2 linked regions of the Oreochromis niloticus genome follow. The protein of the gene in region 2 purifies or fractionates together with the protein of the main gene of each other region. This does not show direct contact. Links are inferred from orthologs where the notes say so. Each region holds a gene or a part of one and is shown on either strand. Other genes may lie near its edges.

Region 1 (7,465 bases), on a different chromosome or scaffold from region 2:
CTCAGATACGCACACTACTTAATTTAATTACCCCCTTCTGTAAAAGGACTGCTGCTACCTGAATGAGTATGACTATTTAGACTTGAGTTTGTTTTAGTATTTAGATTTTGTGTTATTTATCCCAATTTATTGCTATGATTTATTACTGCCTTTTTACTGCTCTTTAAAATTTGTATTGACTATTGCACTGTAGAGGCTGGTGAGAAACAGTATTTGCTTCAGCCTGGGTAACACCAAACGAAATGACAAACTTCTTGAAACTCTTGGAACTTAAATATTTGCTTACCTTAACTTTGGCTGCAAGCTTCTCTCCGGCCTCCCTCTCCTTCCGCAAGTCTTCCATTTTCTTCTCCTTCTCTTTAAGAAGCCGCGCTTTCTCCTCAGCTACCAGGCTGTGATCGTCCAGGATTGCTTTTCTCTCCTTTTCCAACTTCTCCTGCTGTTCCCTCCAGTAGTCCCCCTTGTCGTCTCCATCTTCCTCATCGTCCTCTGTCTCGCCACTTTCCAGACCCTCATCATCGCTCCCTTCCCCTGCTCTCCTCCTCAGCCGCCTTCTCTTTTTCTTTCCTGAACGCTTCTGCAGCTGTGCCTTCAGCCTGGCAATCTCCTCCTGAAACTCCCTGAGCAGGGCATCTTTGGGATCTTCATTGATACGTGGTTTGTTCTTGATGTTTTTTGCCCTGTTTGAATAGCGCAGAGTTGTTAAGGTCTCCTCCACGTTATAGGATGCTGGGCCAATGTTGGCAACCATGACAGTGCGGGCATTGCCCCCAAGGGAGTCCTGTAGCAGACGTGTCAACTTCGAGTCTCGGTAAGGGATGTGGCTGCTCCTGCCATCCACCAGAGCTGATATGACATTACCGAGAGCAGAAAGTGACAGATTTATCTTTGTGGCTTCTTTAAGCCTCTCCCCCTGAGCTCCAGTCTTGGTTTGCCTTTCACTGCCAGCTAAATCCACCAGGTTGAGTTTGCCAACTCTTATGTGGTTCTCTCCATCCACACCCAACTCACTGCACTCCACCGTGATGACAAAAATGGCGTGAGAGCGTGAGCTGTGCTCATTCATATTAGTGGCTCCAACTGATCGATTCTGGTTGCCCACATTCATGACATGCTCAATCTCTCGCACACTCTTGGTAACAAATGATGAAAGATCTTTAACATACACACCTGTGTCGGGCCTCTCCCTGAGCTCGAGACGACGTGACTGATCTTTTGAGAGCAAGTCTCTGATCTCCTCCTGGTAGATTTCTAAGTATGACGCTCTGACAAGGTACTGTTGGTTCTGTGAACGTGAAATGTGTGTGAAGATGTGCTCAAAGGAGTTTGGGATCACCCCTCTCTTCTCTGGATCATTTCTCACCCCTTCCATAGTGTAAGTCTTCCCTGTACCTGTCTGGCCATAAGCAAAGATGGTCCCATTAAATCCCAGAAGAACAGACTCAACCAGGGGCCTGAAGGTTTCATCATACATTTCCAGCTGTTTGGAGTTCCAACCATAAACAGCATCAAATGTAAAGATTTTGGGCAGTTCGTTGCCCGAGGACTCCCTTGGGTTTCTCACAATAATTTGGCCCAGTTTGACATCAACAGACACCACGCTCTCATACTTGGCGGCCCGCTCTTTCTCGTTCATAGGACGGCAACGGACCACCACCTTGACTGACTCTGAGCTCTTGCTCTTGGACATGGTGAGGAGCACCTGCCAATCCTTGCTGTTTGGCACCTTGTCTTCCTAAAGAGCAGCTTTAGTAACACTTCAGCAATAGATTGCCCAAATCTGACACTGCTGGGGTGAAAACAATCAGTGAATTACATCTCAGCTGATGGTTAAAGCATCACACAGGTTAAAAGTTCTTACAGTGAAATTCTGCCACCAGATGGCACTGCTTACAAGCGGGTGTTTTGATTTAGGATAAGTACTAGTGCTTAACTTCTGTAAATTTCATGTGTTTTTAGATATCCTCACTTCTGCACGACTTTGTGGAAGATGATGGTTCCACTGGCTCACTGCACTACCTTGTGCTAGAAAGGGGTATTACAAAGAACTAAACCCCAGTCCTAATTCAAACAGCTTGTGTCTCTTTAAGACAACATATAGATGTTTTGGACATATGGTAATGACTGTTGTTTCTTCAGACTCTAGTTGATTCGGGAAAGGTCAAAAGTATTTTTAACTACTTAAGGACAAAAAGGGACACCCACTTGGTTAAGGTAACCGATAGGCAGCGACACTGCTTACCTGGCACTTACATCTGAGCAGCCGTTCCCTTGCACATAATAAAACTAAGCTTCCTAAGACTTTTCCAGCTATCACCGTAAAATACCACAGCAACAGGCATAAGCACACATTACAGTTGTTTAAATAAATAACCGTTTTTTCTATTCACATACAAACTGAAAAAAACAATACCACCGATACACTGTTCTGTCAGAGCATATAGCAATGACACTACTTTAAATTGGCTAACTGGAATTTAGCTAATTAGGTGAAGAAACCTCACCCTGGTTTAAAGTTGGAATATCAGATTATTAAATGACAGCCGTTAGAAAGAAATTTGATAAATGGTCCATTTTACGGTAGCAGCTTAGTAAACGTTAGTAAACGTGATTTGTCAAACTAACGGATCAGCTTTCTAGCGTTAGCTCATGTTAAACACGTCCCATAACGAGACCAAAACACTAGGCTAGCAACTGCAAACAAACTGGTAACCTAAGCTACAAATCTGGTAGCACTGCCCGGCTAACACTCTTAGCAAATGTAAAGATTAATTCAGTATATCGCTACGCGAAATTTCGTGAAACCTACAAACACAACTTTACACCAGCCACACAGAAACGTAATTTAACACTTACCAGTGACAAACGTTAGGTTACGCAAAACTCCCACTGCGATGAAGTGAATCGTCGATGGCAAAATTCCTGCCGAACCAGCAGCGGACCGATTTTGTTGCGCGTCTCCTCGAGAATTTACGGAACGGGTGCTGGAAGTGGCCAAAAATGATCACGTGAATTCTGGCGTTTAACCCTGTAAGACCTAACCCATCAAAAAGTAACCAGAAAATTTAGATTTTTTGGAACTGAGATATTTATTAACCCTTATAACAAAATCCACATTTTTTTTTTTTTTTTTGCTATATCATGTTGTGTATGACATATTTTTATTATATACTGATGATATATTTTTTATATCGCATTTGATACATTGGGCGTTTTTGGCAACTATTTCAACGATGTTATTTTTAGACAAAATAGAGTTTTGTCCATAACATTTTGAAATTATGGCAAGTTTTGATCATGTTGATGAGCTCTCAGGTCTCAGAAACTCATGTATCAAATATGATACAAAGGGCCTTATAGGTTTAACAACAGCTTGTATCCTGTATGGTACATTACCGCCTATTTCTAATTCCTTAGGCAGGAATTGTCATTTCATTCTTTGCACTTGTCCAGCAAAGTTCAGCAACTTTCAAAGACGTCCTTCCCTCTACTGGGTGCCCACACATGAGCACATTTTTAAAATTGACCTCCTTCCTAGCCGTAAACTCTCCGCCTTCTTCGTGAATGTGTGTGTTTTAGTGTGTGTGTGTGTGTGTGTGTGTTAAAGTTCGCCATAGTGAGATTCTAGGTTGGATCAGAGCAAAGCAGAGACAATTTAGTTGACTGGGCAGAAAGGATCAATAATGATAATAAAAAAGTATTTTTTTTTATTAATTTCACAATTTTTATGATCAAAACAGCCACTGGGCCATCGCACATACACTCCAGTGAATCTGTGCTACTAAAGCTGAACTAAGCTTCACTTTTGAATGAGATACAAACCCCAGTTGGCCTAAATGAATACAAATATTATCAGAATTGAAAACCAAAATATTTCTACAACTTGCCAAAATGTTTTGAAAGTTGTACTAAATAAGCATCTTTTTGTACTAGGGTGCCTTCCAAAGCCTAGGCTCGAAACTAAGATCCATCCTTCTCTGCTCGTCTCATGAGATAGCACTATGAACTGAATGCATCTTTTACAACTGTTGAAAAGTGGGTGTTTTTATCCACAGAGCTCCATTTTTGTTTTGTTTTGTTTGTTTGTTTTTTTCAATCTTCAAATAGAGTCAGTTTTGAATCCTTTGCTTCTTATACAAAATTATTCCATTGATTTCATTTCTGATGACGCTTCAGCAAACAGTCAACGGATCAAATGAACGGCCAGATGCATCTCTCAGGTCCCATCTTCGCTAGATTTTTTTCTTTTTCTTAATCGCATAACTTTTACATCATGTTCATCTACTGTATATAGTTTCTTAGTCCACATGACTGCATGAGACTTTGGATGTCAACCCTGCATCTTGCCCTCTCGTCATATATTACTGTTCAAGAATATGACCTGGTGTCATATTTTGGCAAAAAAGGACTTAAAGAGCAAAATAAAAATAAAAAAAAACAACAAAAAAAAAAAACACCACTTGGCAGGTTCAAAGTGTTTATTGACAGACTGGTTTTCTAATAGTGCTCCAGAAACTCCCTGCTTCCAACCCACTACTAGTTGACGAACAGAAGCTCTGACAGAGGGGAGAGGAGTGAACGGTGAATATTGAAATATATTGTAATATCTGCTCTGAGCTTCTGGAAAAAACTGCGTGAGTACATATGCATGTACATTTCATAGTTCCACTCTTAGCTGTAAATTTAAATGAATGTGGAAAAATACAGTGTTGAAATTCCCCGTCTTAAGCTGCATGCACTTTTCTTAACCTAACTTGCACTGGTCAGGTCCATGAATGACATAACATTCTAAAAGCTGAGTTCAAGATTGATTGCATTTGTATACACAAAAAAAAAAAAATAAAAAAAAAAAATATCACTTCCACAGTCTAAAAACCTGGATAGAAACTACTTTTAGACATTTGCATTAATGCAGTTACATCCAAATGACTGAACTACAGTCAGACAGCTAATGTTTGAAATTGGTGTTTTATTACAGAAGCATAATACATTTATTCTTTAGGCCTCAAGCTCAGCACTCATTTCTCAAATAAAATGCACATAGAAATTAGAGTGTGACAATCAAGACTAAAACCTAGGCTGTGTCCGAATTCAGGGGAAGGATGCTTAAAATGCCATATTTGGAGGCAATGACATCACAGAGACGCGACGAGGGCTGTCCGAATTCAAAGAGCACTCAAAATGTGGCGACAAATGTGTCCTACTTTTCCGCGAATTTGAGGGTTAGTCGTGTCCGAATTCAGGGGAAGGATGCTTAAAATGCCATTTTTGGAGTCAATGATGTCACGGTGACGCGACGAAGGCTGTCCGAATTCAAAGAGTGCTCAAAATGTGGCGACAAATGCGTCCTACTTTGCCCTGAATTCTAAGGATGGTCCGATGTATCCTTCATGTCCTACTGTATCCCAGGATTCATTGCGGGTCATAGAGGAGATTTGTTTCTGATAACGATGGTGGTCGAAGCAGGAGAGGAAAACACTTTCAAATGTAAGTATATGAAAATCTGGTTGTACAAAAGTTAAATTGTTATGGCGGTCGTTTTGTTAAGCTTTGGGCATCTGCATAGACATGTTTCTTTTCTTTAAAATAACCGTAAACCAGCTTGTATCGGGGGTCCCGCGATTGTATTGCCGCTTACATACAGCTAATTTTGAGTTTTCCAAATTGGTGATATGTTGTGGGGAACAAAGACCAAACGGCTTAATCTATTGAAACGAGGAGAAAACGATCACCTCTTCACTGGGGTGAAGAATTGGGCCGTTACCGCGTGGATGTACATGAATAAATCAATTTACGCATCATATTCATATGAGTTCGGTCCTATTAACCCTCGTGCTGTACAGCAGCGGTCCCCAACCTTTTTTGCGCCACAGACCGGTTTATGTCAGACACGGAGCCTTTAAGGTATCGCGGATAAATACAACCACATAAAATGATCCGACCAAGACAAAAACTGTGGTATTATGTAAATATAATAATAAACGTGAATGTACTGTGTAATTGTGTAACTTCATTAGCAGCGTCCTCCTGAAAATGCGCCAATATTGACAGTAACATCCTCCTCTCTGCCGCTTAATGCTCTCTGGTCGCTATGGTAACGTGTAAATATTTACTACAACACGGGAAAAGACCCAGGGAAACCGAGTCAACGACAAAACCCCTGAAAACCATAAATTTCACACCAGAGCCTTAACTCTGTGGCCCGGTACCAAACGACTCACGGACCGCTGCTGTACAGAACCTGTGATGTCCAGACGGCATTCCTCTGGTGTTCTGCTGTGAAACTTTTGGATTTAGGGATTAACATAGTTGCCATGGTGTCCTTTCTTCTCTTATTTGTTGTGTGTGATCAGGACAACTCTGGAGAAGATGGGCCTGCAGGGGAAAGTCACCCCCTTGCAGGCCAGAAGACATGAGATAACTTTAAAGAATACAAAGTACGTATGTGTGTTATCAAGAAGATAATTCTTAAGAACACAAGTTAATAAATGTGCAAGAGTTACTAAGAGTTGTTGTGGTGTTTTTATTTGCCTGCTGTGTTTGATTTCCTCTGCCTTTAGGATTGCAAGTATCCAGGCTCAGGAGAGGGGGTCAGTGGGAAGCCCACTGCTGCTACTTGGCCCTGGTTTGCCCTCATGGATGAGGTGATAGGACAGATGCCTTCCATTAAGCCTCCTGTCCTAATTTCCTCTCTCCCTGAGGACAGTCCAGGGCCAAGCACAGCAGTGGGTGACCAAAACGACAGCAATGACGAGGCGGCTCAGCCACCTACGACAGGGAGAAAGAGGAAAAGAGACAGGGATGATGAGCTGCTAGACCTCATCAGAGCGGACATGAGGCAGCAAAGAGAGGCTGAGGAGAGGAGAGCAGGGAGAGGACGGACAGACTGTTTTCACTTCTAGAAAGATTACTTCCCAAATGAGTTATGTATTGAGAAATTTATTTATTTGAATATATTTGTTACATTGTTATATGTGTTGCATTAGTTTAAAGGTTTTATGTTATTAATAAATTGATTCAAACAAACAGTAACTGTCACTGAACTCAATGTGATTTACAGGCATTTGTAACACGTATGAACATAACGCTAACTTTGAACAATATTACTTGGATATTTATTTGATAGCAATAAAGTAAATAACAATAACAATTAAACAAGAATATTTCAAATACACAGTATGTAAAGATGAAACAACAATATTTTCAGTTGTTCACACAGGATTAACCTGAGTAACCTGTTCCTGGACCGTTTTTTGAACAACTGTAATAGATTACAGGAAGTCTCTGGCAGTGTTGCTGAATCTGCCCGAGCAAGATCAGACGTGGATGAGCTGCTGCAACTGAGACCTGCGGTTTGTCTTTTCTGGTCTGTGAGTGGAGAATCACACAGGGTGGTCTGCAAAGAGAGCTTCAGGATGCTTCCTCCCACTGTCCACTGCATCCTCCATCCACAGGGTTTGCAGGG
Region 2 (7,173 bases):
ACGGGCAAGCTGCAGGATGAGAGCTGAGCCTCTGATCTTCTCTGGAATCCCTTCATAGAGCAGTTCAATATACTCATCCACTCTAGTTATACTGGCCTCCTCATTTAACTACAAACACAAACAGACACACAAAGTTATTGACTGATAACAAATGCATTCTTTCACCAGCCAAACTATTTAAACAACACATTTGAGCAACTTCGAGTTGTTGCTATAATGAAGACAGAACACGTGCTTACTGCTGTGTGAGATCAAACTACAGTGGAACAAATGGTTACCTCTATGCCTTCAAATGGTGTCAATTCTTTGGGCTTAACTGTTCTTTTTTCTTTTTTTTCCACTGGTGACAAAACACACACACACACACACACAAACAAACAGCCAAGATAAAGCACATCAGCATTAATTCCAAACTTGAAAACTTGAAACTTAACTTGCATTAGTTTACATTTTCTTTTATTAGCATCACAGTGCATACTTTAGGTCTGCCATTACACTACAACCTCCTTACATGTCTTAATATTTCTAGAATGTTTACAGTACATGCTGGACTAACAAGCTGCCAATCTACATGTGGGACTGAAGTTAGCCAAAGTCGGAATTGGACAGTAAAGATTTTGGGCTCCAGAGCACAGGTGCAATGAAGGTGGTATGACTAACCCTTGCTCTCCACTGGGGATGATTTCCTGTTCTGCAAGTAGTACAGGAGCTGCTCCACCTGGGGCAGACGGGAAGCAGGGATCATCTTACACTCCTCCAGCACTTTCTTTGCCAAAGCTCCCACATCTGTACTAGGAGAAAGACTTTTCATGCGGATACTGGAGCATGAAAAAAAGAGCAGAAGAGAAAGCAGAAGCTAGCAGGTTTCATTAAATTCAAAACAAATATACTGATTGTAAAACTGTGGCCCAACACCCTTTTTTCCTAGCATAAATAATACATATCTTTTTAATCCTTTCCTCAGGCAGAATAGTCCTCTTTTCACAAACCTAATGTAAAAGACACTGTCATGATGTCACCCACTAGTTTGTTTGTGAGGTCCTGTTGTGATGTAAAACCTAAAGACAGACACGCTCAAATGGTAGTAGAATATCTAGTTAGGCCTGCCTTGCAACAAAACCTTATTTATTAGCGTTTATTAGCAGCAGTTAAGACCATAAAGTCATTTTCCAATCAGATAAATCCTTTGCTGCTGATTATTGGGACTTACTTTTCCAACCTAGAAGCTACATTCGTCTTTTATATACAGTATATGCTGCCCAATTATGCTAACGTCACTTGCTGGCAGAATGAAATTAATGTGACAAAACAGATAAATATGAGCCACTGACACATGTAAATGTTACCTTATTTACAAATAGGTATATATTAGTAAATGGGGCAATATTAACTGATAGAAATATGTCAGCACATGACCAAAACATTGTTTTGTAACATGGCTTTGTTACCATCCACCAACGGAATAAAAGTTCATTGCAAAATGTATGGAATTTGTTACATTTTATTTTTAGTTGTCCTCACTATTAAAATATACGAAGAAATGATTACGAATTATCTGTCCAGTTTAGATGGATTAGACTGACAAAGGTTAATTTGACATAAAAATCTAATCCAATCAACTTAAAAGCTCTCCTTTTTAAGGAAAAAAAAGATTTCGAGTTCAAAAGGAAACTGAAATGAAGTGTTTAGGAGCTGTGAGTCAAGAGGCCGCTTACATTTTTTGTCCCTCCTTGCGTTCTCCAAGCATATGTCCTCCACTCTCTCCAAGGATAGATGCCTCCACCTCATAGTGGACTACAAGGGCCTTCTCTGTGGGATGGACGTCCAAACCGCCCACAGTCACTTTGCTTTGAGTGATCAAGAACAGGCAGTACAAAATACGGTAAACACATTCCAGTTATTTAATTTACATCATACCATATAATAACTGCATCGGACGCAAAGCAGCTAGCAAGTTCATTTCACAACAAAATGACTTTACATGTTGCTACAGAAAATAGGTCGTTAATTGCCAAGCCAGTAACAAATCACCAGCACTAACAATAACGCATAGGAAGACACGCCCAGACAGTAGCATAATATTACTATACTGGCTAGCCGGCTAACAATAAAACACGATTTCACAGAGTTGAAGCATGACAAACATGAGCTCAACTCGGTGCAAACCCCTGATTGCAAATAAATTCAACACTACATGCAATTAGCTAGCGATTATCCACCACAGTTTAGCACGGAAGCTTGCTAGCTATTTTAGCTGAAATTCAGAGTTCCAATCCCCCTTCACGTAGGGAAGCTAATAATAAACCCAGTTCAAGAATGAAACATTCTTGAACTGGGTTTATTATTTTACTGGCGGATTTATAAGTCAGTGGAAAACGTGAAATCAGTCGTTATTTGTTTATAAGTTGTCATGCACTGTAGGCTCCTTTTAGAAATAATTGGGTAACTGTGCTAACGAACGGGATGTGAATAGAAGCATGAAGGCTGATTTAAATTGTGAGATATTTTAAGTGACCTTTCTGTCAACTGCATGTACGCCAAACGGACCAGCACGTTGTCGTTATTCATTTAAAACAAAAACAATTATATGCTCGCATTCTGCACCGAGCAAGAAAACAGGAAATTTCCCAGATTGGAAAGGTAATTAAACATCGCGCTATATAGAGAAATGCCATGGATCAGGGCAAGCTAATTAGCAAGAATTTCAATTTAAAAAACGCTTCCTCTTATCTTCCAAGTGTTTGTTAAACGTTCACAGTAAAGCTGACGTGATAGTATGGACACCATATATTACTTAAATTGGCGTACAAGAGACCGTAGCTAGCAAACGATAACATTACTCTTAGAATAATAAACTCACGTTATGACTGACCGTTTGAGATAACGTGCATCATCCTGCATCTTCCTCAGATTTAAACTTCAATATTTTTTAATGAACGTAACAGTACTGATGTGTCGAAGCTCGGGGGAGTTTTTGTGAAGCGCGTATCGAGGCTCGCTTTGATTACGTATGCAGTAGCGTTCGTACCACGTGACTGATTCAGTAACTGGCCCGCCGGTTCGCGACAGATTCGAAATAAAATGGGCAGCAAAACACGCTTTTTTTTGGAATACGCTTTATTGACAAAGCACACAATACAGTAGTGATGGCCAAATGAAGCTTTCTGAAGCACTGAAGCTTGTATTGAAAAACGGTTCATTACTGGAAGCTTTTCAACACAGTCCTCTCTGGTGACATCTGGTGGCCAAAAATATGAAGAGCAGCTTGAATCCACAAAATAAAACCAACTGCTTCATAATGATAGCTCACTCTACAGAGTGGAACTCTGTCTCATATTGGGCTGCTGTTGTGTTGCTTTGAACGTGTATTTTTTGGTGTTAAAAAATGTAGTTTATTTGTTTAATAAATAATTTTGACCAGTAAACTTTCCTTGTGTGAACATGCACCATGGTTTGGTCTTTCTTTGCTTGTGACTTCTTGATGTTGGTAAATACAATAATTGAAAAATACCACGTTACATATAACATACATATAATAATGCACATTATGCAGTATGCTTCTGCTGTGAGGTCCTGCCTCCATGTACTTATGCATTTAATCTCTAGACGGGTATATTTATAAATAATATTATATTAGGGAAATTTGTCTATACATATTTTTGACCTGGGGGTAGAATTGATTGTGAAATGGAAAGGGAAATGCTCATGAACTTGCAAATTAAAAACATGATGCATTTAAGGAAACCCTTTTTCATTTTTATTTAAGAAGAAAATTAGTTCCACTGTGCGATGGCCGAATCTGTTCCTTTTCGTTCAGATAATTTCTCCTGCCTTAAGGAAAATCCCTTCACATGGCACAGAAGAGGCTGGAGTGCAGAAAAACTGGTAGAGATGCAGTTATGGCTCCACAAACTATCAGCTAAAGAGAATAAATAAATTAAATTGCTGCACATTTTGTAGACTAACATTTTAAGGTTATTTTTTTAAATAAAATATATCTTTTTATAACATTAAATGTTACGAGTCAAATGGAAGTTATTTAATGATATTTATATTATGAAAAGCAGATTTTTTACATTTTAAGTTTTTCCCGTTTTCAGATAAAATAAAGACGCACAAAACAAAAGCAAACAGCCAGAACACAAAGCTGGAAAACCCACCCGATTGACCAGAATCAACTCAAAATACTCCCACACAACAGAACCAAATCTCTCAGTAGAATGATCAGTGGTTCGCTATCTGTCACCATCAAGACACTCCACAAATCCCGCAAATGAGAGTTACGTGCGTAATGAAGCTTCGGACGTCTCTGGTCACGTGACTTTTGCCAAACGAAGCAAGCCTCGACCATTGACTGTAGAAAACATGGACGACGCCACAGCTCCCCAAAAATGAAGCCAAAACGTCTCTATCGCCCCCTGGTGTCTGGCTGCAGTATAGGTCATAAACCCCGCCTCCTCCATGTTAGCGGATGGGACTGGGGTCAGAATAAAATAAATTTATTCTCCTTAGATAATTTTTTTCCAAAGATTCTTTCTTTTGTTATCAATAGTTCTCATCATGCTGATTGATGTCCAAGGGGTCTCCTTTCCCATAAGTTTGATTCTAATTCCTACAGCGGCGATGTTAAATTGGGGTGAAACGTCATCATAGCAGCTTTGACTGGCAGCTGCAGTCACGGAGAAACTTGCGTATCTGTGTTCGGGAATAGCAGATAGAGCGTAGGCTCTGAGAGGAGGGCCAGCGTTTACGCTACGAAAACACGACCGAGTGTTTTAACCTGACAGCCCGAGGTGTTCTTCAGTAAACTGGACTACCCGACAGAAGGACCCGAGGCCCCGCTGCATTTTTCGGTAAGTTAATCGTGTTTGTAAGCTAATCCGTAACTACTGTCCTTAGCTATGTCCTGAGACCTAGCTAGCTAAAATGAGCACTCGGCTGTCAGGGTTCGTTTAGCTAATCTGTGCAGGTGAATGAACTTACTAAAGAAATTAAGAGAAACGTTCCGGGCTAATCAGTCACTAATTACTGTTACTGTACTTTTATTACAAGTATTATACTGTAAAAGCAACAGGCTGCACCCTGCTTCAGCTCCTGTGCAGAACTGAATATCAAATATATGCAAACAGCAGCATGTTTTCAGTCTCTTGCCACATCTGTAAAGACAGTAACATTTTTTTAAAAGCTTGTACTTCAGTAACTCCTCATTAATCAGGAACTATGGATTAAAGTACTGTAGTGTATTGTAATACTGAAAAAAATGTAAGAGAAGAACTTCAGATCCTGAGTGTGTGAGGACAGAAGAATCAGCTTTATTTCAATTTTGAGGGATAAAATTTATATCTGAGTTTGATGGTTCTGTTCTCTTTGTGATTACAGGAGCTGCCCTCAGATTCAGACCTCAGCACCACCCAGTGACAGCAGACAGATCATCCAACATGTTAACTGCAAAATGAACTGATGAAAACAGTACAAAGGTTAAAGTACCACATGTCCTGTAGTGAAAGCTGCAGCTTTATTGATAAAGTTAAAGACAAAAAAACAAAAGGATTAATCACTCATGTAACTGTGTCACTATATATCAGCATTAACAGGACCTCAGTTTGGTGTTTCACAAAGCTGCTGATCTCAGACCTGCACAGCTTCCGTTTTAAACACTTGATGTACTCAGCTGCATGAAGAGCATATGAGATTTTCTCTGGCACAATTAAATAAAACCTGATGAAGGTCAAAGGTCGTCACTTGTATGTTGAACTACAAACTTGTCATCTGGAATTCTTTCACAGTTTTCTGCAGATAGTGTGTTATTTACCATAAAGTGATTCAGAGTTATTCATACCAGAGTAACCAGAGAGGATCATATATTTTTTTTAAATATATAACTTTCTACAGGACTGAATATAATATCTTTATGTAAAAGTCTGGAGCCTCTGGGGAGTATCCGAGTATTTATAACATTACACAAACCAAAGGTCTCCATCACAGTATTCATGAAATGCTGGGTTTATCCATCTCCTGGATCGGGCCTACGGAGGAGTGCTGAAGATTTCCCTGTGAGGGAGCTGCTGGTGAAGATCATGAGTCCTGCTTGATCTATGCATGAGCTTCAGTCTTCTTGGTGTTTCTTAAATGAAGCCTCTCTCAGTGGGTCAACAGAACTTCTGGCACAGGACAGCTGTGATGAAAGAAAAGGAAGAAGTTTCTCTAAACCTCTGGACCCAGGAAACCCAGCTTGGTCCTGATGGTCTCCCTCACTAGTTTCTCTCCAGGGTGAATGTAGCTGTTGATAAAATATGGACTCTATTATTAAATGAAAAGAACAAATTAGACTACACTACTGAAACGTTCTGCTGTTTTTTTTAAAGTCTCCATGTTACCAGGCTGTAGAGTACGGTAGAGGGCTCTGAAGATTTAAACAGTTTTAGATCCATTACACTCACAGTCTTATGTTAAAATCTCAAAGGACAGCATTATATTTTTGATATTAACAGTAACTCTGGGCCTCTGTAGAGTGTGCAGATGATCTCATCGCTGTCTAAAAATGGATAAAAACAAACATAAGAAGTGATGAATCCTTCAATAACACAGACTATTAGAGTAGCAGGTGTGTAGCATCGCTAACTAGCTAGCAACAAGCCTCCAACACAGTGCGTATGCTAGCGGCTAATCTAACTAACGAATTAACAACAGAGTGATTTTAGAACTATAAGATGATAAGCTGTGTGTCTTCTTTTATAACAGTGACATGGTTGTATTTACCTTAATTAAACGAGTCGTCAGTCGCGGTAAACCAGCAAAAAAACTCGAGCAGCCGGGCTACGTAAAAAGTGTAGGGGGGCGTGTTTGCGGTCATGTCCAGCGGGTGTGTGGGCGGGAACGTTACACAGTCGCTCCACCTCAAGTCACTACTGCGCAGACTCTGGCTCCAAATTTGCAAGATGGCAGCCTCCACAAGCGGGATATTTTGGCTTCATTTTTGCACAATGGTAGGAGGCGGAGTCGCGTCGTCCATGTTTTCTACAGTCAATGGCCTCGACACAGTGGCCGTTTATCAATGCTCAAGTACGCGAGTACGTACTCGCCGAGAACGCGAGCACGGACTCGTGGGATGTTTCTCAATTCTCAAGTACGCGAGCACGGACCTGTGATTTGTACAGTCGGAACACCTGCGTA

The links. Proteins that work in one complex are often made in the same cells at the same time.
Region 1: the proteins of kinesin-associated protein 3 (region 2) and kif3b purify together in Homo sapiens (co-immunoprecipitation; 7 studies listed by BioGRID and IntAct, counting the BioPlex papers as one, with this or other methods). This does not show direct contact. The link is inferred for Oreochromis niloticus from reciprocal best matches to the Homo sapiens genes KIFAP3 and KIF3B.

The regions. Positions count from the first base shown.
Region 1 is NC_031984.2:32,957,628-32,965,092, reverse strand, and holds the start of kif3b (kinesin-like protein KIF3B), read right to left. Parts: upstream 3,010-7,465; 5' UTR 2,857-3,009; intron 2,808-2,856; exon of another isoform or gene 2,243-2,807; intron 1,790-2,242; 5' UTR 1,691-1,789; coding exon 287-1,690; intron 1-286. UniProt on the Homo sapiens protein: Microtubule-based molecular motor that transport intracellular cargos, such as vesicles, organelles and protein complexes. Uses ATP hydrolysis to generate force to bind and move along the microtubule. Plays a role in cilia formation.
Region 2 is NC_031982.2:1,955,694-1,962,866, reverse strand, and holds the start of kinesin-associated protein 3, read right to left. Parts: upstream 3,021-7,173; 5' UTR 2,902-3,020; coding exon 2,861-2,901; intron 1,848-2,860; coding exon 1,716-1,847; intron 819-1,715; coding exon 661-818; intron 341-660; coding exon 279-340; intron 109-278; coding exon 1-108. UniProt on the Homo sapiens protein: Involved in tethering the chromosomes to the spindle pole and in chromosome movement. Binds to the tail domain of the KIF3A/KIF3B heterodimer to form a heterotrimeric KIF3 complex and may regulate the membrane binding of this complex.